5 linked regions of the Bombyx mori genome follow. The protein of the gene in region 3 binds, or shares a complex with, the protein of the main gene of each other region. Links are inferred from orthologs where the notes say so. Each region holds a gene or a part of one and is shown on either strand. Other genes may lie near its edges.

Evidence for each region.
Region 1: the proteins of integrator complex subunit 2 (region 3) and integrator complex subunit 7 are in contact, whole or in part, in a cryo-EM structure (PDB 8RC4), measured with the Homo sapiens proteins. The link is inferred for Bombyx mori from reciprocal best matches to the Homo sapiens genes INTS2 and INTS7. Residues at the interface, in NP_065799.2 of Homo sapiens: Gln27, Lys28, Val29, Cys48, Arg51, Met52, Cys55, Ala56, Ala58, Asp59, Gln60, Ser61, Trp64, Phe92, His93, Ala186, Glu187, Pro189, Ile194, Val218, Asp220, Ser221, Asn223, Glu224, Ser259, Leu262, Lys263, Arg265, His285, Gly294; in NP_056249.1 of Homo sapiens: Leu38, Gly39, Glu40, Cys42, Glu43, Val46, Arg47, Asn77, Phe78, Leu81, Cys82, Leu84, Lys85, Gln88, Gln89, Asn114, Asp115, Pro116, Val117, Ala120, Ile121, Arg124, Val153, Glu156, Val159, Phe160, Ala163, Leu195, Lys196, Pro199.
Region 2: integrator complex subunit 2 (region 3) and integrator complex subunit 4 share a complex: the UniProt entries of both Homo sapiens proteins name them as parts of the integrator complex. The link is inferred for Bombyx mori from reciprocal best matches to the Homo sapiens genes INTS2 and INTS4.
Region 4: integrator complex subunit 2 (region 3) and integrator complex subunit 9 share a complex: the UniProt entries of both Homo sapiens proteins name them as parts of the integrator complex. The link is inferred for Bombyx mori from reciprocal best matches to the Homo sapiens genes INTS2 and INTS9.
Region 5: the proteins of integrator complex subunit 2 (region 3) and integrator complex subunit 1 are in contact, whole or in part, in a cryo-EM structure (PDB 8RC4), measured with the Homo sapiens proteins. The link is inferred for Bombyx mori from reciprocal best matches to the Homo sapiens genes INTS2 and INTS1. Residues at the interface, in NP_065799.2 of Homo sapiens: Pro40, Leu54, Lys69, Leu72, Arg73, Leu75, Ser76, Gly77, Val78, Glu79, Val81, Asn82, Val85, Gly125, Thr127, Leu128, Glu131, His132, Glu166, Val172, Tyr173, Glu176, Arg322, Gln325, Gln326, Arg329, Gly400, Lys402, Thr769, Met772; in NP_001073922.2 of Homo sapiens: Gly561, Ile562, Ala563, Trp564, Asp565, Lys566, Gly567, Ser982, His1055, Met1056, Thr1058, Pro1060, Glu1095, Arg1096, Thr1098, Ile1099, His1102, Leu1107, Arg1225, Ser1250, Phe1251, Gly1252, Ile1253, Tyr1285, His1288, Glu1291, Val1292, Gln1293, Glu1295, Arg1296.

The regions. Positions count from the first base shown.
Region 1 is NC_085129.1:14,683,347-14,688,469, reverse strand, and holds the end of integrator complex subunit 7, read right to left. Parts: intron 4,123-5,123; coding exon 4,044-4,122; intron 2,823-4,043; coding exon 2,628-2,822; intron 2,103-2,627; coding exon 2,043-2,102; 3' UTR 1,967-2,042; downstream 1-1,966. Other genes in the region: TLR4 interactor with leucine rich repeats, read right to left, coding at 561-1,792. UniProt on the Homo sapiens protein: Component of the integrator complex, a multiprotein complex that terminates RNA polymerase II (Pol II) transcription in the promoter-proximal region of genes.
Region 2 is NC_085121.1:12,654,575-12,661,370, forward strand, and holds the start of integrator complex subunit 4, read right to left. Parts: upstream 4,270-6,796; 5' UTR 4,148-4,269; coding exon 4,094-4,147; intron 4,001-4,093; coding exon 3,668-4,000; intron 3,109-3,667; coding exon 2,860-3,108; intron 2,590-2,859; coding exon 2,414-2,589; intron 123-2,413; coding exon 1-122. UniProt on the Homo sapiens protein: Component of the integrator complex, a multiprotein complex that terminates RNA polymerase II (Pol II) transcription in the promoter-proximal region of genes.
Region 3 is NC_085110.1:8,304,197-8,310,813, forward strand, and holds the start of integrator complex subunit 2, read right to left. Parts: upstream 4,296-6,617; 5' UTR 4,002-4,295; coding exon 3,712-4,001; intron 3,624-3,711; coding exon 3,250-3,623; intron 2,726-3,249; coding exon 2,541-2,725; intron 2,339-2,540; coding exon 1,990-2,338; intron 1,668-1,989; coding exon 1,595-1,667; intron 1-1,594. UniProt on the Homo sapiens protein: Component of the integrator complex, a multiprotein complex that terminates RNA polymerase II (Pol II) transcription in the promoter-proximal region of genes.
Region 4 is NC_085111.1:140,377-147,326, forward strand, and holds the start of integrator complex subunit 9, read right to left. Parts: upstream 4,177-6,950; 5' UTR 3,886-4,176; coding exon 3,877-3,885; intron 3,184-3,876; coding exon 2,992-3,183; intron 2,375-2,991; coding exon 2,172-2,374; intron 1,982-2,171; coding exon 1,113-1,981; intron 1-1,112. UniProt on the Homo sapiens protein: Component of the integrator complex, a multiprotein complex that terminates RNA polymerase II (Pol II) transcription in the promoter-proximal region of genes.
Region 5 is NC_085131.1:780,475-786,646, forward strand, and holds part of integrator complex subunit 1, read right to left. Parts: coding exon 5,987-6,172; intron 5,439-5,986; coding exon 5,222-5,438; intron 1,820-5,221; coding exon 1,746-1,819; intron 1,662-1,745; coding exon 1,481-1,661; intron 926-1,480; coding exon 791-925; intron 212-790; coding exon 55-211; intron 1-54. UniProt on the Homo sapiens protein: Component of the integrator complex, a multiprotein complex that terminates RNA polymerase II (Pol II) transcription in the promoter-proximal region of genes.

The sequences.
Region 1 (5,123 bases), on a different chromosome or scaffold from region 3:
AGCTAGTCTATAATATATTTGAGTGTAAACATGAAGTCTCAATGGAGACGGGGGCGTGTCGTGATCCCGCGTATACTTCTATACTAGTATTTCTCTATAAACCGCGGAAGGTAGACTTTCTTTGCTTTATTTTTCTAACTCTGCAGTTTTTTTTTGTGTTGTGGGTGCATACGGCTTTTTTGTATCGTCCCATTAATATTTGTATGCCCCAAACATTATAGCTTGAAGGACGAGAATGCCGATATGCAAACAATTAATCTTCGATGCCATGTCTCAATGTTATTTGGGTCATTCAGATTGTAATTTCTATGGACTCTGACGCAATATAATTTAATTTAACGCAAACTTCATGGTGTTTCCCGAGCGCTATGACATGTCCTTCTTCAAACGGGGCTTGTGGGGAGTACTTAACGGTAGGCAGCAGCTTGGCTCTGCCTCCGGTATTGCTGGCGACCATGGGCGACGGTAACCACTCACCATCATGTGGGCTCGTAAGCCTGCAAGGGCAATAAAAAAAAACTGTTCCCTGACATCCTCCTTGTTCTGTGTGCCCAACTCACCTCACATGGTCTCTGTATTCTTCAGGTATTTGCAATTGTTTGATCCAATATAATTTACAGTCACACGACCAAGCGTTTCCTTGTAAGTCTAGCTTTATGAGTCTTCCAAATGGCTCCATCAATCTCTTGTCCAGTGTGGTTAATCTCGACCCTCGCACGGACAACTCTTCCAAATTGAAATAGTCGGCATCTTCTAGGACTTCTTTGCCGAAAGCAAACGCATCGAATTTCGTCAGATTCATGTTCCGTTCCAGCTCTAAAGACGTCAAAGAATGTAATGGTTCGAACATGTAGCCGGATATTTCGGTAATTTTCAAATTATTGAGTTTGAGTACTTTCAATCCGGCTAGATCTGCGAAGTCTTCACTGGATATAATTTCAATGGGGTTATCTGAGATATCTAAGTACTCTAAAGTGAATGGAAATTCGAAAACGTCAGTTATATTGTTGTTTGATATAACGAGTTTTCTAATATCGTAGGCGTCGACAAAGAAGTTGTCTGGCACTCGATTTAACTTCACGCCGCGAATGCTGAGCGACCTGATCTTCGCGGTCAAACCCAAGCCGCTTCTGTCGAACAAATTCACTCGTCGTAGCTCCTCGCCTATGTCGTTGTTGTCTAAAACGATTTCCTTCAAATTCGTCAATCGATGAAAAGTCAATTTATCAAGAGACGTAAATTTGTTGTTGGCCAAATTTAAATATTCTAGATTCTTTAGTTTATCGAAAACGTGTCCGTCGATTTTGCTAATTGAATTGTCGCTTAAGTCCAACTTCTTCAACGAAGGTAACGCCAAGGAACAGTTTAGATTGACAATATGATTGCGATTCAGATACAGCTCGACCATAGTTGATGAATCGAATATAATTGATGAATCTATCGATGTTATATTATTGTATGACAAATCTAATGAATATATCGTTTTGGGTAACGTTAAATTGACCTTGGCGTCCACGTTTCTGTGGGAGCAGTCGACTGTTTCGCCCATGTAGTCTTGATCTGCGTGTTTATAGTTACAGAAGCACGTGCCATCGCAGAGGGAATTGGCGGATGAGACGTATAGTAAAATGAAAATCGGTAACATTTCGTGGCGGCGACGGCCGGGCGCGCACTGTGGCGTGCGGGGCGCCGCGCACTCACCGCCGCCGTTATCGGCAATGCGTCGCAATTTTTGGTCATTCCACTGCGATAGTGTAATCAGTGTCAGGTCTGGATCCAGAGCGCTGCTCATTGTTGTCGCCGCTCTAGATCGAGGCTTCGTTTTTATCAATGTTTTATTGAAGTGAAACTTCTAATGCGACTTAATTAAAAGTTTAACGCTCCTGGGGAGGAGAAATAGAGGATAGGAATGGCACTCTGTGCTCTTGCGATGTCCATTGACAAATCAATTAAATAAAACCATACAACGCTTTAATCGCCTTTATTAATATTAACTTTCCTTATCGCGACATTGTTAAAAGAACATTAGCAAAATCTCAGGATCAAAACCTTCCTCTGCTGTTGTGCGAATTGGACACCTTCGGACTCGGATCGTCGTGAGCCTGGAAACAGTTCGATTTAATTAGTCTACGTACATTTTTATTACCCTTGTAGGCGAGCGTACGGCCCACCTAATGGAGAGTGATTACCGTCGCCAATGGACTTCAGCAATGCCAGGGGCAGAACCAAGCAGCTGCCTACCGTTATACTAAGTCTCAGTTCTACAGTACAACGGCTGCCCCACTCTTCAAACTGGAACGCATTTTGCTACTGTAAAAAATAGCCACTAGAATATCTCCAGTTTTTTTTTTATTGCTTAGATGGGCCGACGAGCTCACAGCCCACCTGGTGTTAAGTGGTTACTGGAGCCCATAGACATCTATAACGTAAATGCGCCACCCACCTTAAGATATAAGTTCTAAGGTCTCAGTATACCACACTTGTGTTATACATTCTCAGGCGGATCCTTAGGTCGTCTTTTACAATATCCTTGAGAACAGACGGAGCTTTCTCCCTCAAATAAACACTATATTAAAAACAGCAACTTTTCTGAAGTCTCGTTCAGTTCCTACGCGTCATTCATTTACCTTGATGACAATCGAAGTCCTGGGGCCGGTGTTCCACAGCTGGCCGCGCTCGTCCACGAAGGCCGACTCCACGGCCACCGTGTACAGTCCCGGGTTGGGCACGCTGACCAGCTGCTGGGCGGAGAAGAAGTCCCGGACGGGCGCGACCGTCTGCACTGCGGTCAGCACCGGCGGCACGTTGGTCAGCTCCACCGTCTGCGGACGACGGGGACTGTGAGGGGACGGGGGCGAGGCGCCGGAGACGTGAGCTCGAAGTCTCAACTGCTTCGCGGTAGAAATGGGCAGTACGGTAGTACTGTTACCTAATATGCCTCTCAATAATAATGCAGACTAAGACATTCCTGAATGCATCGTCATTATATAAAGACGATTTATTGTTAAAACGCCGCAGAACAGAATTAGCTCGAGTAGCGGAAACACACATCGTTTGTACTATTTCTTTTATAAAATAAATTGAATGTCAGTCACAGTTTCCTTTTGTTTTTAAAGAGCTCCTGGATCCATCTCGTAACAGTACCTCTTCATGGAGGCACAAAGCGTGTCCCAGTAAACTGAACCGTAATACATACACTTCCTTAGGAATTACTACTATTAGACTACAGACGTCCATTGCTGGACAGAGGCTTCCCCCAAACCTCGCCACGACTGGTTATGCACTGCTTGCTTCCAGCGGATCTCCGCGAACCTCAATAGCTCCTTTGTCCATCTTGTGGGAGGCCTACCCACGCATTTTTTTTTCATACCTAAGCTGATGGTTTTGAGAAACCATATCACCGTCACCGGGCTAGTAGGTGAGCTCACGGGGCTCAAACCTGACGTTTTTGCTAACACGAACCCTAGCAAGAGCCGTGCTTCGCAGAATCTACCACCGGATCGGAAACGCGACCCACTGAGAAGATCCGGCGAGAAACTCAGTGGGCTGTCTGTGGATTAATTTACTTGCCGAGCCCTTCGTCGCAACCGACAGGTTCGGCGAGAACGATGACCGGATCCACGCTACGCTTAGTATTTGTGGAGTACGAGAAAGCCTTTGATTCGATTAAGACCTGGGCCGCGTTGCAGTCTCTCCAACGGTGCCAAATTGATTACCAGTATATCGAAGTGTTGAAGTGTTTGTATGAATACGCTACTATGTCAGTCCGATTACAGGACGGGGCATTGGAACCCATCCTTCTGCAGCGGAGAGGCAGAGAGATGTTGTTTTTCCGAAACCATTTACCACCGCATTGGAGAATGCTTTCAAAGTTCTGGACTGGAACGGGCTAGGCATCAACATACAACTCCCCTTCGGGTTGTCGACGATATTGTAATTATGGCTGAAACCTTAGGTGATCTACAATGCTCGAAGACCTCAGTAGAGCCTCTATCCGAGTGGACCTTAGGAATTAATTCGTGGTATAACAATGTAATCAGTACCTTCTCGTTGGTCCTCGGATGCTGGGTGGCGGTCACCGTGATTTGGACGCCTTTAACTTGTCGCTGCTGCTGACGTTTGCTGTGAGATACATATCGACGGGTAAACAGCTATTTGGTTTAAGCGATATTCTTGAAACTTTCCAGGAGAAACATGCAGTTTAAATTTAAAAAAAAACACGACATAAAAACTTTTTCAGCTATTTGAATGGAGTAAACTTTTAGATGTGTGGACGAGCTCACAGCCCCTGGTGTTAAGTAGTTATTGAAGCCCATAGACAACCACATCGTAAATGCGCCACCCACCTTGAGATATAAGTTCTAAGGTCTCAATATAGTTACAACGGCGGCCCCACCCTTCAAACCGAAACGCATTACTGTTTCGCGGCAGAAATAGGCAAGGTGGACCACCACCGACCGTGCGGACTCACAAGAGGTCCTACCACCAATAAAGTCGTCTTCCTACAGGCGCAATAAAGAAAAAAAAAAAAAAAAAAAGCAAACACGTTCAGTAATTTCGGGGGTGTCGGCAAACAAACAAACAGACAGATAAATAACTACGCTGCAAGCTTCCGCGCCGGTTCCTAGCACTGTCTGCGGTTTTTGTTAGACGTTGATATACCTAATTTAAACCGTTTTACTGTTTAATCTCGCATTTTTGTTAACATTGAATTATTTGTTAATGTCACTACATTACTGTGAGTGTTTTAAACGCGTGAACGAACATGTGACATATCGTCGTTGTCAAACCAAAATCTGCTATGTGAACTTTTAGAGATTTTTACTTTTTGAACTTTTCGTATAGTTCACGGCCCTATCTACCGTATAAAAAAACTGTTATATGTCTATAGCTTTAATATTTATCTATAGCTTTTAATTGATATAGTTCTTAAAAATTCACCTTCATATAAAATTGTATACGAAAATGTTTTTACTCGTTAATACAAAACAGAGTTTTGGCACATAGCAGATTTTGGTTTGACAGTGACGATTTGATAAACGCGGGAACAAGTCGTACAGGGAGTTACATTTATGTGTAAGTTTCCGTTCTACATCCCCCCCCTTGTGTTTATGTAGTTATGT
Region 2 (6,796 bases), on a different chromosome or scaffold from region 3:
CGAGCAGCGTGCAGGCGAGCGCTCGCACTTGCATGCATAGATCGTTCACGGCCGAACATATGCGAACAAAAGCGTCATCGACCATTCGTATCGTGGTCTCGTCATCTTGTAACGTTATTACACTGAAAATAACAAAAAAAAAATCCTCAAATTCATTGTTCTGAGATGTATTGGAGAGGCACACATTATATATTTTGTTGTTGTTGTTTTGTTTATTGTTGGGTTTGTAATTGTGATTAAACAATTATCACTTACATACGAATCTATATACGATTAAGATTATTTCACTTAATTATAATCAATTAATAATAACATTAAAAAACGTTTGAAATAGAACTTAAAAGTTATGGTGATCATGAATCATGTAAACAATGTAAGACTTTTATTGCAAAGAAAGTCAATAACATTATTTAAAAAAAAAAACGAGTGTTGTTTTACATACTTTTTGACTATAAAAATAAACTCTCCTGGTGGCTCTCGAAGGGAGCGACAGTCTGGCAGACTTTTAAAATATTTTATATATACTTATTTATTTACTGAAATTTTTTATTCTTATTTACTTTTAATAAAAAAAAGTTGCCGACATATTAACTTTATTACAATTGCTTAATTAACACTAGATTTACCAGACCAGTCATTTTGACTGGTCGTGCAACTTCAATTCAAAATGACTACTACATTAAATATTTGCTTTCCAAATTGATGTTATAACTTTTGTAGGTATAAGTAGAGAATACATTTTATGAACTTAATTTTACTTTATATAATGTTAGTAACAAATATATTTTTTGTTATAACTATTTATACCAGAACCAGTCAAAATGACTGGTGCATGTTTCTAGGAAGAAATGTATGATTTCGGGAGAATCATGAGACCGTGAAAATACAAATAGTGCCCATGCTTCTTTTGTTCATTACGTTATCGTTATCGAGCCGATTTAGGCGATTACGGTATCTATACGATTTTTTTACGAGTACTTAGTCCAAGCGATCTCCAAACGTAATCATTCATCTTTACCCATACAGTGACACGTAATAAACATTTATGAGTATTTGAAAAATATTCAAATATATGTTGTTCAGCAAGTAGCCTGCATATCCTTAGCCCCTAAAAATGTCAAAACGAAAATTTGTACAGAGCTAGAAGCCTCTCGAGTTTTGGGGAAAACCTGGATAATCACGCAAGAAAAATTGAAGGCATTTCTTGTAATATTGTACGCACGTGGGGCATACGAAGGAAATACTTTGAGACTTCAATATTTGTGGAATAAAAAATGGGGACCATCATTTTTTTCTAGCACTATGAGTAGACGAGATTTTACAGATATTTTACGATACATTCGGTTCGATAAAAGAAATCAGAGGAGTCAACGTTTGCAAACAGACAAGTTCGCTTTAGTCTCAGCAGTTTGGGATAAATTTATTGAAAACAGTCAAAATTGCTTCAAACCGGGAGCTTCTATTACTGTGGATGAGCAACTTTTTCCAACGAAGGCCAGATGCAGATTTACTTAGTATATGCCAAACAAACCCCATAAATTTGGCATCAAATTTTGGTTAGCGTCTGATGTAGAAACAAAATATGTGGTAATAAAAAAGTACTTTTACTAAGTACAAAACATAAAAACATCAAAATTGATAAAGCAGCTAAAAAATACCTGAAACTGTATTGTTTTATAATAAAACTAAATTTGGCGTCGATGTGACTGATCAAATGGCACGAAAATATACGGTGAAGTCTGGTTGCAGAAGGTGGCCACTTCAAGTGTTTTTCAATATTTTAGATTTAGCCGGAATAAATAGCTGGATATTATACAAAAACACAACAGGAAAATATCTCACGGAAAGACTTTCTGTTTCGATTAGCAGAAGAACTTGCTTCAGAATATCAGACTTCAAGGCAAAAACTACACGAAGCTGATATATCAACTACCGCTGGCACGGTTTCTGTGCGCAAATGGTGTCAAATACGATATTGCAATAACAATAAGACTACAAATATTTGCAATAAATGCAAGAAAAGTCTATGCGGAAAGTGTACAAAAAGCAAAATCTACATCTGTAGAAATTGTGAGCGATAAACTGTAAAAATTAAGTGTTTTGTTATTTGAAAATGTCCATAAATCCATTTTTGTATAAAAATTTATATTGTTGAATTCTTTTTACCATTTTTTAAGAGTGAATAAAGACTGGAAACTCAGTTAAGCATTTTTTTATACACCAGTCATATTGACTGGTTATGGTAGAAATACGTATATTTAAATGGCTGGTAAATCTAGTGTTAAAGATGGTGGGCATTCAAATGTGCAATCTATTATTCTACAAACTTTAGGTAATAATAGCTTTACAAGTTAGTGTGTGAACTAATAAATTTAAAATTAAAGAATAAAAAAAAAAAAATTAGAGTACTTACTTTTCTGGGTATTTATTTCCAAGTACCCAAATCAACTTTAGGGCAACTTCTCTTACTATTTCATAGTCATCGGACAGAGCAACACAAACATGTTCGTACAAATTAGATCCTAAGATCTGTCCTCTTTGATGAAGTGTTAACAGTGCTTGAAATGCTTCACAACGCACTCTGGCATCCTAAATTAAAAAAGTTTTTAAACAGAAAGTTTTCAATCCTAACTCTGCTTACCTGATATTTTGTATGTTAATAAACTATGTGATTTATATATTTATTTTCTATGAGTAATAATTAAAGTGATGCATGGTGTTTGAAATAATGTATTTATATTACTTCTTTGTTTTCTTTTTATTCAGCAGTTTATAATAACTATGCAGTCAAAACATTTAAATTATTGTACTATAAAATATGACTATACAGCTACACCAAATTATGAATATACAATATACCTCAGAATTAGAATAATCTCCAAGAAGTTTTACAATAGCTTCAGCCTCTGCTGTCATCTCAGATGTTCTATCAGAGTCCGGATGTATAGGGTACAACTCACTGATGAGCTGTAGACACCTACATTTCACCTGATGGCTAGTATCTTTCAAATTGTCTTTAGCAACACCAACTAGCCTCATCATTAAAATTTTATCGTCACTCAATTTCTTGGCAAGTTTTGTCAGTGTTGCTATTCCTTGACCGATAACCTGTAGAAAAAAATCTATCAAATATCAGCAGCAAAAACCTTACCAAACAAAAGAAAAGCATTACTACTACATTATTTACTAATTTATCTGCTTTAAAGAAGTAAAGACATAACATTATTTGTTAATTTGAATAGATTGTTTTGATCACATCCAGTATTTCTACAGTTTTCGTGATTTTTAGATATATTTAAAACTAGTTTTAAGGATGACTCTGAACACTAAAATTGTAATTTATTCTAAAAGTCAAAAACAATAGAATGTAAATGTAAAAGCAGTATTATTTACGTTGTGTCTTTAACACTTCAGGCAATTGCAATGTACAGAAAATTATAACATAATACATAAAAAAAAAACTTTGTAAAATAGTAAAATGTTGAGAATGTTGGAGCCTTAGGTACTGAGAAGGATTTATACTTTCCTGCTAACAATTGAAATTACAATCTCAAGTTTCAAAGAGGGTGGTGGAATTCACAGAGCATAAGAGCTCCAGTAAAACCTAAATGTGTGAACATTGAACCACTAACAGTCTATAACAAATACAAAAATATAATAAAATTACCTTGTGTGACGTTTCGTTTTTTATTAAATGTATGGTTTCATCTATCAAGTTATTCAAGTTTGCACAGGGAACCTCCAAGCCTATGTCACAAAAAAGCCATAGTATTTTTACTCTGACTACAGACTCTTCTTCCGACTGAAAATGTTTTGACAACTTCTTTATTGCTTCCTCTACGTCGGACTCTTGGAACTGAAGACAGTCGGATATTCTGAGTAAAAACTGCAACGCTTCATCGCTGGACTTGCATTTCTCTAGAAGACCCACAAAGGCAGCAGCAGAACTACCTATTAACGGCTTCTTTGCCAAATGCAGCTTCTTCGATGGTGGAGCATCCTTTGGTGTAAATATTGTAGTGAAGAGTTAGGTTAATTTCATTAGACATTTCACTTTCAAATATAGAAAACTATCTAACTGCATTATACTAACCTGAAATGATTTATTGTATTCTGCCAGGGCTCTCTTCTTTAAAACTGCAGCCATTTTATTAACAGTTCCAGATGGTGATTTCTGTAATGTAATGTATTTGTTTTTGTATAAAATTGGTGTTATGATTGGTAATAATAATCTATGGACCAAGCTTTCAAAACTACTCGTTAAAGTAGTCTGTGACCATCTATCACTGAAACTGAAGTTATGCCAGGACTTTTTGGCGGGAACGCGAGGAGTGAAGTTGTGTAATTTGTTTTATTTTGTCTATTTAGTGTTTCTTCAGGTTTAAATGTGTAATAATGTTGGTTTATTAACTGTTTAATATCTGTGAAAGTGCACAAATGTGGGAAAATGAAACAAAGTCGCTGGACGTAACTTTTCGGGATCCTCCAAAAAGTTCACTGAAAAAATCTTAGTAAATGACCACCATTTTACTGAGATTATATTTCATCCCATATGATCTCATTTCATTTCATTTAATTTCATCCCAGCTGATTAATGTCTCAAATTAATCATCTTCAACAAACTTGCATACGTCTGGTCTTGACCTATGAAAGTGTAGTGTTCGCTTACGCGGCCTTTTTTTTTTTTTTTTTTTTCCGGGCCGAGGGCCGAACATCCTACGAGGTCCCCACGCCTAGGGGGCGCGCGGGGTATGTGAGACTCAACGATCTGCAGGTGTTGAGAGCAGACCGCGGGCCCAAGGAATTTAAGGCCCACCCACTAAACGACTCCCCTGCACTCTTACACCCGGCGTCCGATCTCCGTCCGGGGTCAAAACCCGGTCAGAGTAGGGGGGTTCCCGCGGTCAACACTACAACCAGACACGCGGCGCCACCCCGAGGACGCCCGACCGACGGGTCGTCGAGGCGATAGTCGACGACCAACGACGTCAGTCTCCGCGGTACGGCGGCCCTTCAGGCCGCCCGGGCGATGCCGCTGGTGTTCCGGGATACCCCGCTGGGCCAGAACCAGCCTGCCGGGTCGGAACGCGATACACCGCCGACCGGGTTGCTCTTCCACAGTATGTTCGGCGACGACAGCGACGACGAAAATGCGGACCGCATCGCAGTCCGCAGCCGCCGACGCGTCGTCCCGTCCTCCTGGTGCCAGCGCGCTAGAGTGACGGTAGCGTGCGGCGCAGTCTCAGCCCCCTTAGGTCGCCCCGTGACCATCACCGGGAGGAGACTGCCTCCTCATAGGGGCCGGAGCTGGACAAACGCCCTCCTCCGACCCCCGGCTCGACGGCGGCGGCACGGCGCCGAGAGGGAGGAAGAGTTCTCCCTCTCCCGTTCCGCCGCCTCCTTCTGCGAGATGGTGGACTCGCAGAAGTCGAGCATCGCCTGCCAGGACTCATCGCTGCCGAGCATCGCAGCCACGACGGTCGGAAGCGACAAGTCCGGTCCTATTTTTGCAACGAGGACGCGGCGCTGCTCCGCGAAAGCGGGGCAGCACGCGAGCGTGTGCTCCGCCGTGTCCTCGTTGCAGCCACTGCAATGGTGGCACTTCGGCGTCGGCTCCCTCCGGGCGACGAGGTGCAGGTAGCGACCGAAACAGCCGTGTCCCGTGAGCACCTGCGTCGCTCGGAAGGTGAGACGTCCTCGGTCGCGATTCACCCAGTCCGAGAGGACCGGGCGGATCGCCTCGACGGTCCGTCGCCCGTAGGCGGGGTCCGCCAGGCGGCGAGACCACGCCTCGAGCACGGCACGCCGAGATAACGCGGCCTGCACTAACTTAAACACCTTTAAAATCATTTCATTCCGTTTTTGCAGGATAGCCGTCGGAGAACCATGGTTCGTGAGGAATGTGGATCTTCCCGATGACCTGGAACTTGTTTCCATACTTCCGTATATGATGACAGTGTATGAGCACCACTTCGAGAAAATGGCTCGATACGATAATCCACTTTTATTGTGGCCGCCGGCAAGTAGTACATACCGATATACCCAATGCTGCAGACCGAACGGTAAACGCTCGCTGTCACCCAAAACATGTCATTTCGAATCCTTCCGATTCACTATAGGTGATTTTAGGCACTGCCAAGCACCGGTCACCGTTCTCGTTCAACTCTTCGAATGCCACGAAGGGTTCGGCAAGCAAAATAACCCCCTGATACAGCCCATTGAGTTTCTCGCTGGATCTTCTCAGTAAGTCGTGTTTCTTATTCGGTGGTAGATTATGCCAAGCACTGGTCTGGTTAGGACTAGTGTTGGCAAATATGCCAGGCTGAGCCCCGTGAACTCGTCTGCTCGCTCGATGAATCTAGTATAACACCTCGAGGCTTTTTTGGTAAGTACATACCTAATCGCTGGTAACCTAAGGGGCTATTCCAGCTACTCGCAGATTGGTAGGTTTACTGGTGTTAGGACCTCTTGTAAGTCCGCGCGGGTAGGTACCACCACCCTGTCTATTTCCGCCGTGAAGCAGTAATGCGTTTCGGTTTAAGGGGTAGGGCAGCCGTTGTAACTATACTTGAGACTTTAGAACTTATATCTCAAGGCGGGTGGCGCATTGACGTCAAAGATGTCTATGGGCTCCAGGAACCACTTAACACAATTTTTTTTTGTATTGCCTTTGAAGGCAGACGAGCATACGGCCCACGTGATGGTAAGTGGTTACCGTCGCCCATGGACTTCAGCAATGCCAGGGGCAGAGCCAAGCCGCTGCCTACCGCTTAATACTCTCTCTAGGTGGGCTGTG
Region 3 (6,617 bases):
ACCAGGTGGGCTGTGAGATCGTCCATCCATCAAAGAAAAAGAAAAAAAACTGTAGTTTGGAAATCAGAGACTGACTATTTTTATTTTATTTATTTATTTATTTATTTATGTACACACAGAAAACAAGACACAGTACAAAGCAATAGGAAAATTATGTACAAAGGCACTGCTTATTTCTTTGAGAAATCTCTTCCAGCAGACCTGCGAGAGGATAATGAGAATAATAATAAAAAGTGATAAGTGTGTGTAGAACAAATAACACATAACTAAAATAACAAATACAACATGAGAATTATAGCACATACACATAGCAAATATTATAAGTAACACAGTAACACTCGTATATGCGAAGAGTATAGAACCATGATCATTCGGTTGATGATAGATAAAATTGTTTGACCTTGTATTTAAAAACAGAAACAGACTTGCAAACTCGGATGTCAGCCGGCAACGAATTCCACAGTCTGACCGCGTGCACAGTAAAGGAGTGAGAATAGAAATTGGTTTTGTGGGAAGGGAATAACAAAACAGAACGTTGGTTGGACCTGCAGGGAGCATCAGGAGAACGAATGAAAGAGAATCGCTCACGTAAATATAAGGGAGAAGTGGGCTTATGTAGGATATTGAATAGGAGACATAATATTCGAATATTCCTACGAAGGCGTATAGGGAGCCATTTAAGTTCTTTGCGAAAATGAGAAACATGATCGAATTTTCTGAGATTGTATATAAAACGGATACATAGATTTTGCATCCTCTCAAGCTTGTTTGAGAGCTCCTCAGTGGCATCCAAGTAGCAGGCATCGGCGTAATCAATTATGGGTAGAATGAGAGCTTGGACGAGAGATATTTTTGTATACTGAGGTAAGAAGCCCTGCAGACATCTCAACGAGTGCAAGGCAAAGTGCACCTTCCTACTAATCTCAGCAACGTGAGAACTCCACGAAAGATGTCGATCTACAATAACACCCAGGTTTTTAACTGAATCGGTTAGAGTTATTTGAGTCCCATCCAAATAAATTGGGGGGAGTATAGGATCGCTGAGTCTACTGCGCAATTGTTTACCCCCTATAATGATAGCCTGTGATTTTCCCGGATTAATGTGCAGACCGTAGGCTTTTGCCCATTCACTGATAGACTTCAGATCACTGTTCATCGCAGCAATAGCCGATTCAACTTCAGGCTCCGAGAAGTGGCAATATAGCTGGAGATCGTCTGCGTAGAGGTGGAATTTAGAAGATATAAGCCTAGTGACAGAGTTTATAAACACAGAAAACAGAAGAGGAGAAAGAACACCACCTTGGGGAACGCCCGCACTGACGTTCTGCCAATCCGAGAAAGTCTCGTCAAGACGGACACATTGCGAGCGCCCCCGAAGGTAACTATCAAACCAGTTAATAGCAGACGAGGAGATATTGTTTGATTTGAGTATTTCGAGCAGAACATCGAAGTCAACAGAGTTAAAAGCGCTGCTGAAATCTAACAACACTAATAAAGTTACTTTTAGTTTAAAGTTACTTAAAGTTAGTTAAGACTATATAAGTATTAAGTATAATAAGAATTAATATATAATAAAATATTAGAACTAATTTACCTTTCGAAGTAGGCTTCCTCTTTTACCAACCATTGGACCCATTCTATAGCTTTTTTCTCATGATCTGGAGCAGCTAAAATTATAGTCAATTAAATTAGAATTAGTACTGCTCATAATTTGAAAAGTCTTCTTTTACAATTTCTTGGTAAATAGCAGGGTGTATTGTGAGCCTACAGAGGTAGGTACTATCATCCTGCCTATTTCAGCCCTAAAGCAGTCAAATATTCTGGATTGAAAGATGGGACAGTCATTATATAATACAATTCAGACTCAATGCATGCAATGAATGGTGGCATTCACATTCTGATGGTGGCACATGTCTAGTGGCTCCAATAACAACTAAATACCAGATGGGTTGTGCCATTTATCTATGTTGTAAAATAAATAAATCTTACCCATTAAGGATGGACATGCTAAAATCATACATAGACTTAATGAGACAAATCTGACTCCAGCAGGGGTTGGGGGAGGTTTCTGTGTCACTAGTCTTAGTAACCAAGCTACTTCATCATCCTGAAACTTAATACTGGCAATGCCCCTCAATGCACAGTACAATCTTAGTAAAGCTGAAGCATCTACTCCAGCTGTGGCAGCTTTTAGACGAATTAATAATTCTTGTCTTAACTTTGTCAATGCAGCATGACCATCACCTTTACCTCTTTTGTGTGAATTTCGTAAAAATGTAGCAAACCATCCTCTAGTAGTTTGGTCAGATCCAAGTAACAGACCTGATATAAATGACACCTAAAAATATACAGAACCATTTAAAACAAAGTGTACAGGACTTTGAAATCATATTGAATTAATGAACATAATTGACACAACTGCTTATCTCAGCTATTATGAATTACAAATATCATAACATAGTCAATAATAAACATGTCATGTCATTTTAAGTTCAATATTTATTATTATACTTAATAAATTGATTTTAATAATAACTTACAAGATCATCTTCATGGTGAGTCAAGGTTAAATTAATGACTAAAGATGGTAGACGTGAAGCAGATGCTGCTTTTGCTCTTATGGTGGCAGCAATAGGTGGAAATACAGCACATAAGGTAGCTAATGCCTTTGCTCTGATGCCACCTTCTTCACTTCGTTCAGCATTTAATACAAGTGATTCCGCTACTGTAAGGCAACATTTAGCATTTACATGACATATTTTAAAAAACAGAATTATACATATAGTATAAGATTTTTGTCATAGTATGTTGCAATAAGCAGCTGTCAATTGTGTGTATACATCAGGTGCTGCAATAATTTCGTTACATAGTTCACAGGAACCCTTAAAACCTGGAAAGGCTCATCATTAACAACAAAACAGAGCCTTCCTGAAAGGCTTGAGCCTCCATCAAAATGATGGTCTGATCATGTTACTCAGCAGCTAGAAATGCTGGAACATGGAGCTCTCCACCAAGCAAAAGATATGAATAGATGAAGAGAAACAGTGAGACTGCAGAACAGAAGAGTTCTGCGGTAGGCAGCGGCTTGGCTCTGCCCTAGGCATTGCTGAAGTCCATGGGCGACGGTAACCACTCACCATCAGGTGGGCCGTATGCTCGTCTGCCTACAAAGGCAATAAAAAAATAAAAAAAGTTACAATTCTGAACAATGAAGGAACAACCAAGAGAAGTTGTAATAAAAATGTTTACCTTCCTGCAACATGTCAGGTTGATTTGCTACCACCCATGATATTATAGAAGGGCCCTTATTTACATAAAGGAGAACCTCAACCACATCACAGATATTTAGTAAATTCGGTATTTCAGCTAAACTTATACATATAACATCTGTGATTTCTTCTAAATACACATCATTATCAAATAATTCAGAGGGCTTAATTGTATAATCCGCATTTGTATTTTTTGTCTGATTGAACTCAACTAATTGTGCTTGCATTTGTAATAGTTCTGATAGAACAAGGCGAACCCTCCTAGAAGAATCAGACTGTTCAAAATCACTTGCAATACCATTAATTATATTTGGAATTAGTGTTGACTCAATGCATTGCGATCCACTTTTTTGCCTGAAAACAAAAATGAATTTGGTAATCAGGTTAAGAAGTATTAGACTTAATTAATTCTCAACTTAATTTTGTCAAGCAAAAAATTTACCTCATTTGTTGTTCTTTTTTTACATCTGCTTCTAGAACATGAAATTCTATAGATAGAAGTGAAACTATGAAATTTACTAAATCAATGCCTGAAAGTAGTGTAAGTATATCTTTCTTAGCTTCTGCACAGTATCTGGTGATATCTAATGGAGATATCAAGGCCATTCGGACAAGACATGGTATTATGGGTCTTATTTCATCAGGACTACATTTCATAAGACCCGGAATATCAACATCTTTTAGGGCTTTGAAAACGTGTGGTTGAACTGGTTTCATGAATTCAATATCCATTATGAAAGTATATTATAACACATCACAAGCTTTTAATATTAATGTTGGGAGTAAAACACAAATCTACATAAACATAGTAGATACTTGAACTAGCAAATTGATCACAATTATTAAGTTCTGTTGATCACTAAAATACAAACACCTTTTTTAAGGGATTTTATGACCTGGTAACTAAGACCTTTAAGACAAGTCTTATTTTAATTTGAATGAAATCTTTTTTATATGCAAAATTATATTATGAAATGAAATTATGTTGATTGATATGAAACATGGGATGAAATGAAAACGAAATGAAATGAAATGAGATGATATAGGATGAACTATAATCTCTGTAAAATGGTGGTTATTTATTGAGACTGGACTTTTTGGCGGGAACGCGAGGAGTGAAGTTGTGTGATTTGTTTTATTTTGTCCATTTAGTGTTTCTTCAGGTTTAAATTTGTAAGGCTCAGTCAGGAGGAAAAAGTGTGCTAACAGCTGCAGGAAGCACCCCCGGAGAGGGCCTAATACCTAATATATTATAATAATAATATACAATAATGTAATAGATTTCGGTCAAAAACGCGGCATAGTGAGAAAATTTGGCGAGAAATTAAGCAGGTTGATTCTATTAGCTAATTTTCACGAAAAAGCGTCTAACAGCACTGATAGTGGATCGGGTAGATCTGTTGGGACACGTTAAGGGTAAGTTTGTTTTGCATGAGCTGGATCAAGAGCACAGTTAGCGGCTGCCATGATGAGAAAGTTATGGCGCCGAGCCGCTGCGTCGCGGCACCGTAATAGTTGCGAAATAGCGCTCCGCTCTGCAACTATTTCGGCGCAAGGCCCTACGGCGGCGATCCTGAATCGAAACTATCTTTTAGGCTTAATCTCGTGTTTTTTATTGTTATTATTATAATATTTATAAGACGTTTCTACATTAGCATATTATATATGCTAATATGCTAATGCTTAGCCGTACCTATGCTAGTTTTGTATAGTATCACCTTTTACGAAGGGACATTTTACTCCGCTTGCAGATCATCGGGTAAAGTCTGCCAAATAGAAACACGATGCGGTCACGGATAGCCTTAATATGAGGACACAAAATTTGCATCTAACTGCTTTTCGGTAAATCCTATAGTCCTCAATGGTTGGGAAGACGGGACAGACGGGGAAGTTGGGGACTATCTCTGACGAGATAGTGTTCTGCTATTATAGGCCAACAATATCGAGCAATTGCATTATAATGGTGGCTGACCTACGATTTAAACTAAAATGCGAGCGTGCGATGCGTGCTTTTGAACTAATTTACCGGTTTGATTTTTATTTCATTTTCAACACGGAAGTCCTTCGTAACGAGTTCAGTTAAATAAATATTTCTTTCGGAAAATGATACGTGTCTGCGGAATTTGAACATCGGCATATTCAATCTTAAAGAATGGTCAGCCAGATGTATTCCACCTGAACTGTTCGAGCTGAATCCACACTCCCGCCCACCTGGTTTCAAAGAAAAACGCCCAATCTGGTGCGTGCTTAACCACCTGAGAACGGGAGTTGGTCACTGTAATCAACTGCGGAAGAGATGGGGCTGGACGGAAAACGAATGCGGATGCCCAGAGCAAATTATACGCCACATTGTCATGGAATGCCCACTAACGAGATTCGCAAGCCAAGTGGAAGATCTCAAAAATGTAACAGAAGAAGCTATCGATTATTTCACAAAATGTAAATTTAAATTATAACCACGCAGTGTAAACGAATGCCATACGATAAATAAATAAAATAAAATCTTGTTTGATATTCTATCTCGCGTGATACGAGTACACTGGGCGACTTATTGAGTCTTATTGTTTAGGCCACGACTATTTTCTATAGAAATTTATACCTACCTGTCGCAGGATTTAGGCCTTGGCATAATCGTAGAACTCGATACAATTGGGTATAGGTAAGATCACGGACTGCTATGAAGGAGTAATGGGGCGTAATAAAATCATAGTGCAATAATTGTATTGTGAGCTCGTAACGCTAATTATGTGCAATGGTGTAGCCTATTTTTGGTATCAATTGGCAACAGCTAAGTTTCTTTGTTTTTTAAACAATTTTACGTCATCGTATTGATAATCTATTAAGAACATGTGTTAGATATGTTACTTGTGATAATGTAAAAAAAATATATTACTAGTAAAGTACCTATATATTCGAACATACTTTATATTTATATTTTTCTGGTAGTAGGATATGTTTTCATACCACAGTAGGAACCACCACCTTGCTTATTTTTGGCGCAAAGGAGTAATTCGTTTCGGTTTAAAGGATGGGATACCCGTTCTACTATACATTTGATAGGTAGTAGGTACTCGTGCTTCAGGACGGATACCTAGAGGCATTCACGTTATGCTGTCTTTGGCCTCCGATAAGCACATAACAGGTGGACCGTGAACTCATCTGCCATTCTATCCTATAAAAAACAATGTACTATTAAAAAGTTGTAAATAAAATGTGTTTAGAGATTAAAAGTACAAAAAAATGTTAAAATTACCGAATGAGAATTAGAATGAGATTAATAAGGAAAGAACTAATCAATTCGCCACTAATTTTATCCGACTGCAAATACGCCATAGAAGTATTATTAAC
Region 4 (6,950 bases), on a different chromosome or scaffold from region 3:
CCGCCCGGCTCGTGTCTCTTATCGTTCATTATCTCTCGTTATCATAAACTATTTATTTAACAACAATTGTGTTTTGCATTCTCTAATGATATTCGATTTCTTAATGGAGGTTTTTGGAGTAGGTTAAAAAGAGAACTACCCGAGCCAACAGTGTTGGTACAGTAGCGGTTACAGCAGAAAACATTTTAGCGCACACAGGTTCATCGATATCTGATATCTACAGTATATACGTACGAATAGGTACAACATTTTGCGGTAGGCAGCGGCTTGGCTCTGCCCCTGGCATTGCTGAAGTCCATGGGCGACTGTAACCACTCACCATCAGGTGGGCGGTATGCTCGTCTGCCTAAAAGGGCAATAAAAAAAATTGCCGGCTACTTTACAGAAAAATAAAGTCATTTTATTATTTGTCGGAGAAGACAATTATTAACACCATCGTCAGACATCGTAGGGGCGATTAGGGTAATCGAGCTAAGAGGAATATTGAGCACACCAATCACGTTTGTTGTCTTAGAACAATTTAGAAATATTCTCTTGACGTTAAGTAGTAAACGAAAACGAATGACAGTTCTTAGGACGGAGGTACCACTCTTCAGGAAGGCTGGTTGGTAAGTGTCGGAAATTGTGCTGTGTTGTGTTTAGCTACCAAATTAATGACTGAAAAACTTCCAACCCTCTCCTCCCCTAATCGTCTTGTAGGGGTGTTTTCGTTTGTGGCAACGCCAAGGTTAAAGCAGGGTCTAACTAACAGGGCGACGGCTTACGATTATTAAAAAGAATTTATTTTTCATTGTAAGTGACAATGCGGTTCAAAATCCCTTCCGTTTCTACACAGAGAAGTACCTTGGCACCTAGACGCGTTGGTCGCGCGAACGATCGTTCAGTTCGCGCGGCGCCCACTTACCAGGTTTACTAACTCAGCGGTAGATTGAGTACCTTCAACTTCTTGGGTTGCGATTCCGACCCGGTGGTAGATTCTGCGAAACACTACTATTGCTAGGACTAGTGTTGGCACATTCTTTCTGGTAGAGCCCATGTGCTCATTTACTCGTCCGCGACCAGTTGGAATTGTCCCCTAAACCATAATCGAGCCGGGAGAGCGGGCTGCGTACCTGTGAATATGATGGCGTGCAGCGGGTTGCAGGCCCACAGCTCGACGAGGTGCACGGCGGCGCCGAAGCGCAGGCTGGGGTGTCCGCAGAAGACGACGCAGGGCTGGCGGAAGTCTGCGCTGAAGGAGTCGTCGTGCAGGTCCCGCGCGTGCCGCAGCCGCCCCGCGCGCACCAGCGCCGCGTGCGGGAACGGCTCCTCGGGCAGGTACACGCGCGCCTGCTTGCCCGCCGACACCCACTCCGCCAGGATGTTGCTGTAGGCCAGCGACGCCTCGGCCGCCGGCGACACCACGTACAGCGGCACGTGCGCCAGCCCCGCCGTGTCCAGGTGCGCCGACAGGCACTCCAGCAGGTCGTACAGCACGCCGCTGGGGTACACGGGGCACAGCACGGAGCCGCCGGCGCGCAGCGTGACGGTGGCGTGCACGCACAGGTCGCCCAGCATGTGGTCCGGGTTGTGCGCCGGCGTCTGCGTGAGCGCGGCCAGCACCAGCAGGTCGGCGCCCCGCAGAGCCGCCTGGTTGATGGGGCGCGGGTGCGTGGTGAGCGTGCTGGAGCCGCTCACGTAGGCGACCTTCTCGTGGGCGGAGCGCAGCACCCAGTTGGCGGAGCCCAGACAGAAGCCGGAGCTGACGGCGGTGGCGTCGAGCGCGCCGTACAGGTCGACCTTCTCGTCGTAGCCGACCACGCGGACGCGCGCGAGGGCGCGGGCGACGTGGTGCGGGGCGAGCAGGCGGCGCCACGCGCGGGGCCGCACCACGTCGGCGAGGGGGGCGGGCAGCACGTGCACCGCCTCCTTCCAACGCTTGGCCGAGCCCGACCCCGACCCGCTTGAGCACACCCACTCCGACAGCTCCTCCAGGTAGAACCTCCAAATATATTATCTTTATTACATCTTTCTGCTGCTTCAATCCATTCTGATACTGTACTTTCAATAAGCATATTCTGTTTACAATAATATGGTGTTGTTATATACTCTATAACCATATATACAATACAGAAATGTATATTTTTTATCATTATACTTTTGAAGGCATAAAAAGAATAGAGAATGAATACCTTCCTATTTGTAGAGTAGGTTCAGTGGCATACACTTGGCCCTTGAAACCTGTATCTTCTGTTATAAAAGGCAGGGCCAGCATGCAAGTGTAATTTGAGATTAAAATTACATCTAGCTGAGAAAAATCGACTACTTTATCGAGAGGCGGACAAAACTCAGGCATGCTATCAACAAACACTCTGCCGCAACACTCCTTTAGTTCCTGTAATGAGATGGGTTAGTTTAAATATCACCTGATATTGATTCTGTTTTTATTATAAAGAAATATCATTAAATTTAACATGTTATTACTTATTTGACATAGGGTTTTTAATCATAGCATTGGAGTCAGATTTAAAATATGAGTCCCTTTGATTTTTTATATCAGAAATCTGTTGAATGCAGTTTGGAAGGTACGTGTAATGTAACTGAGAGATACAGTTGGATAAGTTTAAAAATTATTTTAATGAGGAGTTTTGAGTTTTTTATTAATTTAATGTTTGTATATAAAATAATTAATTGATGAAATGTGTTTTTTTGCTTAAAGACTGTACCTAATGGATTCACCAGAGAATAAGCATTCTGTGAGTATTAAAGCAGCATACTGACTATACCATATTTAGTGGTGGATTCAGTATCCTGTCTGTTTTTGCTGTGATTGCCTCTTGTTTGAAGAATGGAACAACCATCATACAATACAACTGAGAATTCAACTTCATGTTTCAAGGTGGGTGGTGGTAATAATGTTGTCATGACCAGAGACTCCAGTAACCACTTTATACCTAGGTACTGATATATAAATAATGATAATAAGAAATGTAATAAGCTTAATTTTTATACCCCTTCCAAGAGTGGATCATTGTGATGTGGTGGTGTGTAATTAGGCAGGGATGCGAGTCGAGTGCTAGGCACTGGAGGCAGCGGTAGGAAGTTGAGCACAGAGTGGGATGACAGCCCACAATCCAACATTATGAGGAGCTCTTTGAAAGACAACACAAAGCAAGGCTTCGCTGCATCATTGCTTAAACAATACTGTAATCAAATCAAACATTGTTTAAGGTAAGCACTGGTTATATTATTTATAAGTCAGGGGTCCATATGGTAATGCTCAATTAAACAGATATGCCAGAATAGTGGAGCCATCCTGGTATTTTAAAGCCACACCTATTTTTCTGTCCCTATAGTACCTGTATAACAGCTGTGATCTTAGAGTACACATAGAATGATTTATGACAATTTCAAACCATTCTACTTATTTCTGTTCAGACACAATCATGCATTCCGATTTAACTGGTTAGTCATTGGATCCAAGCAATCAATACTTCAATAGAAGAGAGGGACAAATTCTTAGAGGTATCATTCATCTTGTGGTGCCTTTAGTCTCTAGTATTAGGTTCATATCCCAAAAAGCTATGAAATAATCACTTAAACAAAATTGTATGTAAAAATTGTGGGGATGTGGGAGACTGCCTCTCTACCCAGGATATCATTACAGTAAAAACGTATGGGCTGTTCTTGTAAAATAATTTACTATATTAATAAACTACTTGCAAATGGAGCACTCCACTGCAATTTGGTTTGTTTTCGCGTCCTGCAGGTTTAATTCTAACACAATCTTCTAATAGTATGAATTCTAATATTATTTTTGTATTTTGTGTTTCAAGTTCAACTCTTACATATTTTTCAAGTGTTTTGAATAAATTAGTGAAGATATTGCATACTTACAAGCTTCATTATTAGTTTATATATTATATTTCGAATTTGCGGACGAATATTGTTTATTACTAAAGTATGTTTATGTATTAGTAACTGCTTTATCAATTTGTCCGGCTTCAATATTATTTTTGCTTAGGTTTGATGAACCGTTTATTCAGTGTATTGCATAGATAATACATAACTGTACAACATCATTAATTGAAATAAATGAATATTAGGTACATAAGTACTTTCAAAATAGCTAAACAAAATATATTTATATTATGTAGGTAGGTAGGTTCTAGTTACCTACCTACAGATATTATCTGTCAGATAAGCATTTGATTGTTTTAATCGACAGGCAAAGGGAGCATATTCAATACATACAACTAAATATTTGTAACAAACGAGTTATATCTGTTGTGTAAAAGTAAAATGAAACAAACGATATTAAATGTAATTCATTAATTAACAAAATTTGTACTACGGTTCCATATTCGTTGAATTTGTTATTCGGAAACAATGAAACTCGTTGCATTTGCATTCCTCGGGAAAAAGAGTTAGCCGTATCACTCTCTAGTCCATTTTTTTTCCTACCTATGCTGATAGCCGTGAGAGGCTATTTCAGCTTCGCCCTAACGTGTAGGTGAACTCACGGTGCTCAAACCGGAAGTATTGCTAACACTGGCCCTAGCAAGAGCAGAGAAACTCAGTGTGCTATGTCTATGGGTTAATTTACTCGTCGAGCCCTTCGTCACAAGCGACGGGTTCGGCGAGGACGGTGACCGGTGCTTGAGGTGTGTACTTAAAAGTACCGATAATGAATCGGGAGGATCCGTAATGACGTGTTTAGAGCGACGTCGACTTGTTACCGTTCGGTCCACAGGATCGGGTATGTCTATTTATTAAGCTATTTGTAAAACCTTTGGTAAGTAATATATTATGAACCATGAAATACATTGTTATTATTATACTGTACTGTATAGCAGATATACCTAGTGTTATTCCAGTCAAGTTTAGTGTGATAAAAATTAGATTATCTACTTGTCAATTCAGATTATAAATTATGTTGGTGGGAAGTCATATCCAAGTCCGTTATGCTATTATTGTACACAACATTTGTTACGTTGTTGTAGGTAATTATATATTTTATATGTATACAGTGTAAGTGTAAGAATAGTCGTCGTGGCCTAAGCGATAAGACGTCCGGTGCATTCGTGTTGAGCGATGCACCAGTGTTCGAATCTCAGGCGGGTACCAATTTTTCTAATGAAATACGTACTCAACAAATGTTTACGATTGACTTCCACGGTGAAGGAATAACATCGTGTAATAAAAATCAAACCCGCAAAATTATAATTTGCATAATTACTGGTGGTAGGACCTCTTGTGTGTCCGCGCGGGCGGTGCCACCGCCCTGCCTATTTCAGTCGTGAAGCAGTAATGCGTTTCGGTTTGAAGGGTGGGGCAGCCGTTGTAACTATACTGAGACCCTTAGAACTTATATCTCAAGGTTGGTGGCGCATTTACGTTGTAGATGTCTATGGGCTCCAGTAACCACTTAACACCAGGTGGGCTGTGAGCTCGTCCACCCATCCAAGCAATAAAAAAAACACAACTCTGTACAACCGCTAGGTAAGTACATAACACAGTCGAGTCGAATAATAATAACCGGTCCGTGAATGGATGCGGAGTTTATTAAACATAAAAACCTAGGTTAGGAATACAGTCAAAGGCCTACGTACATACACACATACATGCATTCGGTTTATAAAAGAATTTTATTTTATTTATATCCGTGTGGTGATATGGTATCCGTGGTTTTATATTATAACTAGCTGACCCGGCAGACTTCGTAGTGCCTCAATCGAGAAATAAAAGACCTAAACTTTTGTATAAAATAAACTTAAAACAAATAAAAGGAATCCGTCCGACGCGGGACACATCAAAAATTTTTATTTTTATTTAATTCCGAACATTCTCATATTTATCTACCTTTTAAACCTTGGACTTCCACAAATAATTCTGGACTTCCACAAATAATTCAAGACCAAAATTAACCAAATCGGTCCAGCCGTTCTCGACTTTTAGCGAGACTAACGAACAGCAATTCATTTTTATATATATATAGATATAGTCCTCATGATAAGGAAAATAATTCCGCATTAAATTAAAACAAATGTGACGAATGCCAATACAATTCACTACATCTACATGTTCTATGGACCTTTCGCTGACTATTTAGTACAGGAAAAAGCGGTGCGCAGCTGCTTTACCGCCGTTGTCATCAGAGAACGTCACAGCTCTCTACCTGATGGACAATAGCCTTGTCTGCCTTACAAATCAAATAGAGCAGATCATTATAAAAATGCATGTGCAAACCATAGATAGGTTTCATACTTCAGTGGTGCAAACTAATTATACGGATTCTTAATTTGGCAAAGTGAACCTCAGACGACGACAGAGCAGACAAGTTCGCAGTGTTAGCACAGACTGACGCCACTTCATTGCTGTAATCCGAACAATACACAAGCGCTGCTTTCTCTTTACTTTTTAGCTGAAGCACATCGATAACAAAAAAGGCATATCAACACAATTTCTCCATTAGGAAAATAGTATTAGTATTAGCAACTGAACCAACTACCAGAGACTAGGGAGCTAGTTAGGAAACAGTGGGAGATACTGTTGCAGCCACGGAATAGATCTATTCCGTGGTTGCAGCCAATGAAGTAGGAAACCTATGGAAATGAAACGTCAACCAAAATTTCGTGCCACTGTGACGTCATCTGGCCACAAAACATGGCGGCTTTAGTGCTGTACAAAAGATTTCAATGTTATCAGGTTTTATCGATAAACGTTCTTGGCTCATTTTATTTTAAATATTGTTGAGTATTATTTATTTGTAGAATTTATACTTTAATGGGAAGTAAGTAGGTATATTGTTATGTGCAAATATGATATGATTTAGATGGGTGAAATCTAAGACAAGTTCGTCCTTCGAATTTGCCAAGTAAACGATATGATGATTTTTAAAAGTTGCTACACTGATTTTATAAAGTTGTCGTTTGTCGCAAAACATAAAGATATGGCGTAGTTCAAAGCCA
Region 5 (6,172 bases), on a different chromosome or scaffold from region 3:
TATAATCGTGTTCTGACGTAGCAGATATTATCGAGATACCACAACATCACTCACTAGCAGAGGGTCCGTAGCACAAGAGCTTGAGGTGCGCATGCGCTATGACGAGCGGCAAGTCCGTGCGGCGCCCCGGGGAGAACTGCAGCGAGATCCTATCGCCCCCCGGCCACCCGCCCTCGCCCTCCTCCTCCTCGGGAAAGGTATTGTTGCGGACCTGAGTTAACAGATGATTGTCACGTAATTCAATACATATTTTCCTCCTTGCGTCGGTTTCCTCATTACTGAGGGTCGTGGTCATGGCCTTGAAACAGTTTGTTTTTTATAATGCACCGCCATCTGTTCCTATCTGCAGCTGAGTGCAGAGCATCGTGCACTGTGGTATCAAGGGCTGCACGAATCTGGTCCGTCCAACGGATCGGGTTCCTGCCTTTTGGTCGCTTGCCCTCGACCTTTCCAGTGACCACCAATTTCTCCAAGTTCCAATTCAATACATATTTAATACATATAAAAAATGCATCTAAGTGAGTTTTGAAATGATTACTGCACATATAGATATGTAAAGAGAAAACAGTTAACTACCATATTTTCCTCTGTCGAACGATTTCATTTGTGTATTTAATTTTGTTTTGTAATCTAAACCCTAAGGTTTCAGTAATTATGGTCGAACTTCGATCATTATAAGAATGCACAGATAATTGAAGTACAAGTGGATACGTTTAAGGCCAGCTTTACACGACGAACCCCGGGTCCGCCAGGGGGGTGGTCCCCTCACTCTAATCAATGAGCTTGTCACCTTTTGAAGATGATCGTAAAAGAGCGAAGTGAGCGCCAGCAGCGTCCGATGCTGCTCCGGGTGCGAGGGGCCCGACGCTCCGCCGAGGACGCTGTTCATCACTGTCGACCGCTCCATCAGCACTTGGCAGAGGTCCTGTAGGTGTGAGGACGTTTGTACTGGCGTAAACTTACAGACGACTCAATGGTCCAGCTGACGTAACAAGGGTCTATAGCAGCGGTCGGGGAACCGGGGTAAATTACACCAAATGGGGTAAAATGAAATATTTGGGGGTAAAAATGAAACTTTTGTGAGTAAAAAGTATATATTGAAGTGAAACTTCTTTAGAATCGTTGTGATTTCAAACTCGATGAAACGAAATGAAATGAAACGAAAAAAAAAAAATTTTTTTTCAAAATTATCACGGTGCCTATAATATGAAAGATGCTAAAAAGAAGCGATTCCGTTTTTTTTTGTTCTTCGCCACGTGGTAATATCAACTTACACAAAAATATTTTGGGGTAATAATTAAAAAAGTTCCCCTACCGCTGGTCTATAGACATCACGGCGTGAATGCCGCCACCCATCTTGACACACGAAGTCTCAACTGTATAGTAGGCTGTTCCACCCTATGAACTAATATGCGTGATTGCAGCTTGTAGCGTGCCCTACACCAGTGAACACTATCATCGCGTCTGCAGCGACACGTACCAGCACGATCTCGGTATGCAGCTTGTGGGGGGTCTTGGCTGCGTAGCTGGCCAGGAAGTCGATGTAGGCGGCCACGTGCCTCGGGATGCATTCCACCAGGCACGCCGCCCGAATCCTCGCCACCACCTCCTCGCGGACAGACTCCCAGTGCCGGAGCTCCCACAGCAGCTCCAGCCACTCTCTGTTCCGGACAGATCCACGGTACAGTTAGCTTCTTTTCTACTGACATTGTATTACAGAGGTGTAAGGAATAGATCAAACTCACTCGGGATTAACTTCGGCGCTAAAATCCATTTCGTTCGTGTCTTCTGAGGATTGACTCAGCACCAACTTCAGGCCCTAGTGCAAAATGAATGAATGAATGAATGAATGATTTATTTATTTTTTGAATGATATTGAGCTTAATTGTTTGTGACATAGTTTTTATAAATGAAAATTATAGGAGTGGGTAATATCGGTTTTGCCGCGTATCGAATCGTATCTATATATCGAGGATCAATATCGGATATTGAATCTATATATTTTCTGAATCTATATATTGATGGATGCTAGTAGATTTTCCGATTCATTATATTTGAGATTTGAAACGTTACGCTGATATAATATCGTAGTAGATATAGATTTAAGTCAACGTTATACGGTTGGTTTTCTGATATCAATTTATAATATGATCTTAAAGTAATAAAAAGAACATGAAAATAAAAATATCAAAAAAACTTTCCTTCATGCTTTTACCAGGCTTAGGACTGGCTACATTATTTTCAGTTTTTAGTATTTTGTGTCTTAATTTAAAATTACAAAATATACCAAAAGAGTGTAGATTTCAAAAGTTTAATACAAACACAAGAAATAAACTCAATTATTTGGATTCAACTAAAAATAGAAAAATGTGTACTTTAAAAATAAAAAAAAAAAAACTTTTAAGTATTTATAAACACTTGTCCAAAAATTCTAGTTCAAGGTCAAAGCGCGTGAAATTAAATTCAACGATGCAAATAGGCTATACTGTATTCAAGTTAGGGTCGAAAGTTGAAACTTCTTTCCTAAATTGTATCCTGCTGATACGCTAAGAATAATCTACAGACTTATGGACTTAAATATAAGGTTTACAATTCGGCTGTGAAATATCAAAACCCAGTATCTGCATAAAACTAAATTTTACAGGAGAGCCGAAAAACAATTTCATATCTTTGACAGCGTGCCGTTTCAATAATATTAGTCGTACCTTCTTGAGAGTGATTGCAAAATTTGAGGTACATAACAGGCTTTATAAAAAAGTAGATTTCATGCGTCTATCACAAAAGATGTGCGTAGAGGAGCAGTTACTAATAAAAAGATTGTTCTCTTAGATCAAACTTTTTGAGTGTGACAATTTCAAAACCTAGTAAGATCACTTGCTTTGTTTTCATCTAGTTCTAAAATATAATGAGTGGGGATAAACGCAAATTAATAGACTTAGTAAGATCACTTGCTTTGTTTTCATTTAGGTCTGAATTTACTGAGTAGGAACTAAATGCAATTTTATAAACATAGTAAGAAAAAACAGAATAAAACAACATAAATATGGGCAGAAATAAGCAGTTTTAATGAAAAAGAAAAAAAAAAACACATAATCGGAAACCAAACACTATTTGTTTACAGTAAAAAATCAAAAAATAATCACTCAAAATATTTGAAAACAATCAAATAAAAATAAATTATTCGGTTATTAATAATTGTCCACTAGAAACTAAATTAACTGGATTATTATTAATCGGTACACTTAGCCAAAACTTCTTCTCCAAAACTTCTGTTCATTGGCATAAGCTAAATAAAGTTGTTACTATGCCTTCCTTTTTATTTTCGTTAATGCCTCTTGGAATATTTTTTAAGGTTGGCATGATCAAGGGATAGTGTTTTTTAATAAGAAAATCCAACTCGGAATACGGAGATTCAAAATCATTCCTATAAAACATATTACGGCACCCATTTACAAATATTACTTCAACCAAAGAACTAAGCAACAAATTATTAATGGGAACAAGGTCATCATTGCGTCGCAGTATGCGTTTCTTTTTTACCCACTCATACGATTTTTGGAATTCGATAACTTCAATATGCGATCTGCAACCCAAAATTACATTCTTATAGTCTTCAAAATCGTACACAGCATCTTTTGTTTTTAATCTGCCTCTCCATATTGCCATGAACTCCATCAGCTAACATACGTGTGTGATCTTTAGTTAGGTAGGTATTACAAAGTCAAACTTTCTAAATTGAAAAACTCAGAGATTATTACTATAGTAGATATTACTATAGTAACAAGTGATGTAAAGAGGATCCAATTTTTATTTTGAGCTGTGCAATTATCACATCACAATGTCAAATGATTCAAATCTCTTTCTTTTTCGATCATTGCTGCAATTGCATTAACAATGTCATGAGCATCTCGTCCAGAATAGGCTTCATGCCATAGAATACAAATATTATTAACATTAGTTTTCTTTCTGATTGGTGCAAATGTCAAGTTGAAAGTTATCATTCTACTCAAGAAAAACGATTCCTTGACTTTAGGCATGTCGGGTAACAACATAACTTTTTGTAAATCCATCGAATAGTATCTCACAGAGGAAGTATTTTCTAAGGAGGCATCTTCTTGATACTTTTGTATTGCTTTACTTGCTTTAGCTTTGTGATCCCCGTATGCAGTTTTAACATCCTCTGGAATATTTGCACCTTCATTTGCTTTATGTGTCGTAGTAGGTTGCAATTTTGGAAAACAAAAAACCTTGACAATAATAAATCACACTGAAGCGTACTTACATTTTACCATTTTGTTCTTTTAAAGCATTCAAGATCAATTTCGACCTACAAAACTGATTTTTACTCATTTTATAGACAAAAACACGAACGACGTGCAACGATTTTCTCACTTACTAAAGTTTCGCGAGAGTTTTGACGTTTATTTCAACAATTTCATTGACTTAGTATCTGCATGAACCATTTTAAATCCAAGTAACTACAAGCACTTATTAGGTTTTTAAAATGGTTGATGTTATATACTATGTTCTAATCTTGTAATTTTTGCATTTTGAAAACCTTTACTGTAGATACTAGGTTTCCGACTTTGTGTAACTTCGTTTTTTACAAATTTTTGGGGGTTTTTGCTATCCTAATATGTGGAGAATGGTCTACAAGGTCGAAAAATGCAAAAACACACTTTTTTTAAATTTGTCAGATACTAGGTTTTGAAATTGGACAGCCGAATTGTATGGATAATGCCTGTTTCTGTTTCATTCATCACATGATATCCCTATCGTGCGCTCACTCACTCTGGCCGATTCGATACGAACCAAACGAATATTGCTGATATTAATTAACGAATCGGTACGATATGCCGATGCGCATATCGAGCAATATCGTGTATTGGCTGATATCGAAATATAGATTTCGATTCACGAATCGGTACGATATGCCACGATGCCGATGCGCATCACATCGAGCAATATCGTGTATCGGCTGATATCGATATATAGATTTCGTGCGGGGCGATATCGGATTCAACGATATTGCTGCGATATATAGATATTGAATCTATATACGATTTATATCACCCACTCCTAGAAAATTAACAATATTTTATTTCCTTCAAAATTATGAAATAATATTTTATAATCATGATCTTCTCTCTTCCGATGGCATGCACACAACGGGAACTAAGGCAGTTGTTTCGGCCTCAATGTTAACGGAGTTTGTAGTTACCCGCGAGGCCCGCGCGCGCGTGTGCTTGTGCGCGTGCGCGAGGCGCTGCACGTAGTAGAGCAGCACGGCGCGCGCCCCGGCGGGCGAGGCCGCCAGCGTGCGGCGCACGTGCGCGCACAGCTCGCCCGCCCGCCCCTCCGCGCCCCCCGCCTCGCCCGCCTCCCCCGCGCCGCCGCCCGACGACAGGAACTCGCACAGGCACTGCACCGGCAACACGCTGCAACACCGAGGTACGGTCACTGCCACCGGGGACTTGCAGGTACAATAACTTAAATTTTTTTTTTTTTTTTGGAAACAAACAGTACAATACAAACATATAATATTTTAAAAAATATAGCTAAAACAATAACCAAATATGTTTCCACAATCAAAATCACATATAAGTAGAAAGTGAACAGAGAAGAGAAATTTAGAAATTTAAATTACAAATTTCTCTTCTCTTGTTTTTCAAAAGCAACACAATACGCACATATTATTTAAATATTACATAACATAATAACTATGTATAGTACATTAACGAATTTTTACGACGATTTTTTGTTCATGAATTGTTCATTGAATGTTTTAATATTATTACAAGCGCCATGTTCACTGGTAGACCGCCCACCTAAGTTACATTTGAATAATGTAAGTACAAATTTTAAAATCACGAACTGTTTTCAAAGAAAAAAATTAATTCCTTTCTAATACCATTGTAATTTGAAGCTCTATGACCTGAAAAGCGTCAAACGTACATCGTCTAGTAGATAAGTAGTTACGGCTCACCTCAGCTCGAGCTGGTCGTGCCTCAGCAGCTGCAGCAGCCAGGGCATGGCGCGCCGGGTGCCGTGCCGCTCCACCAGCTCCAGCAGCAGCGCGGGCTGGCGGCACAGCAGCTTCCCCAGGCGCAGCTGCGCGTTCAGCGCTTGCAGCGACTCGATGATGGCTTGGGGCGGCTTGCGAGGGGCACCC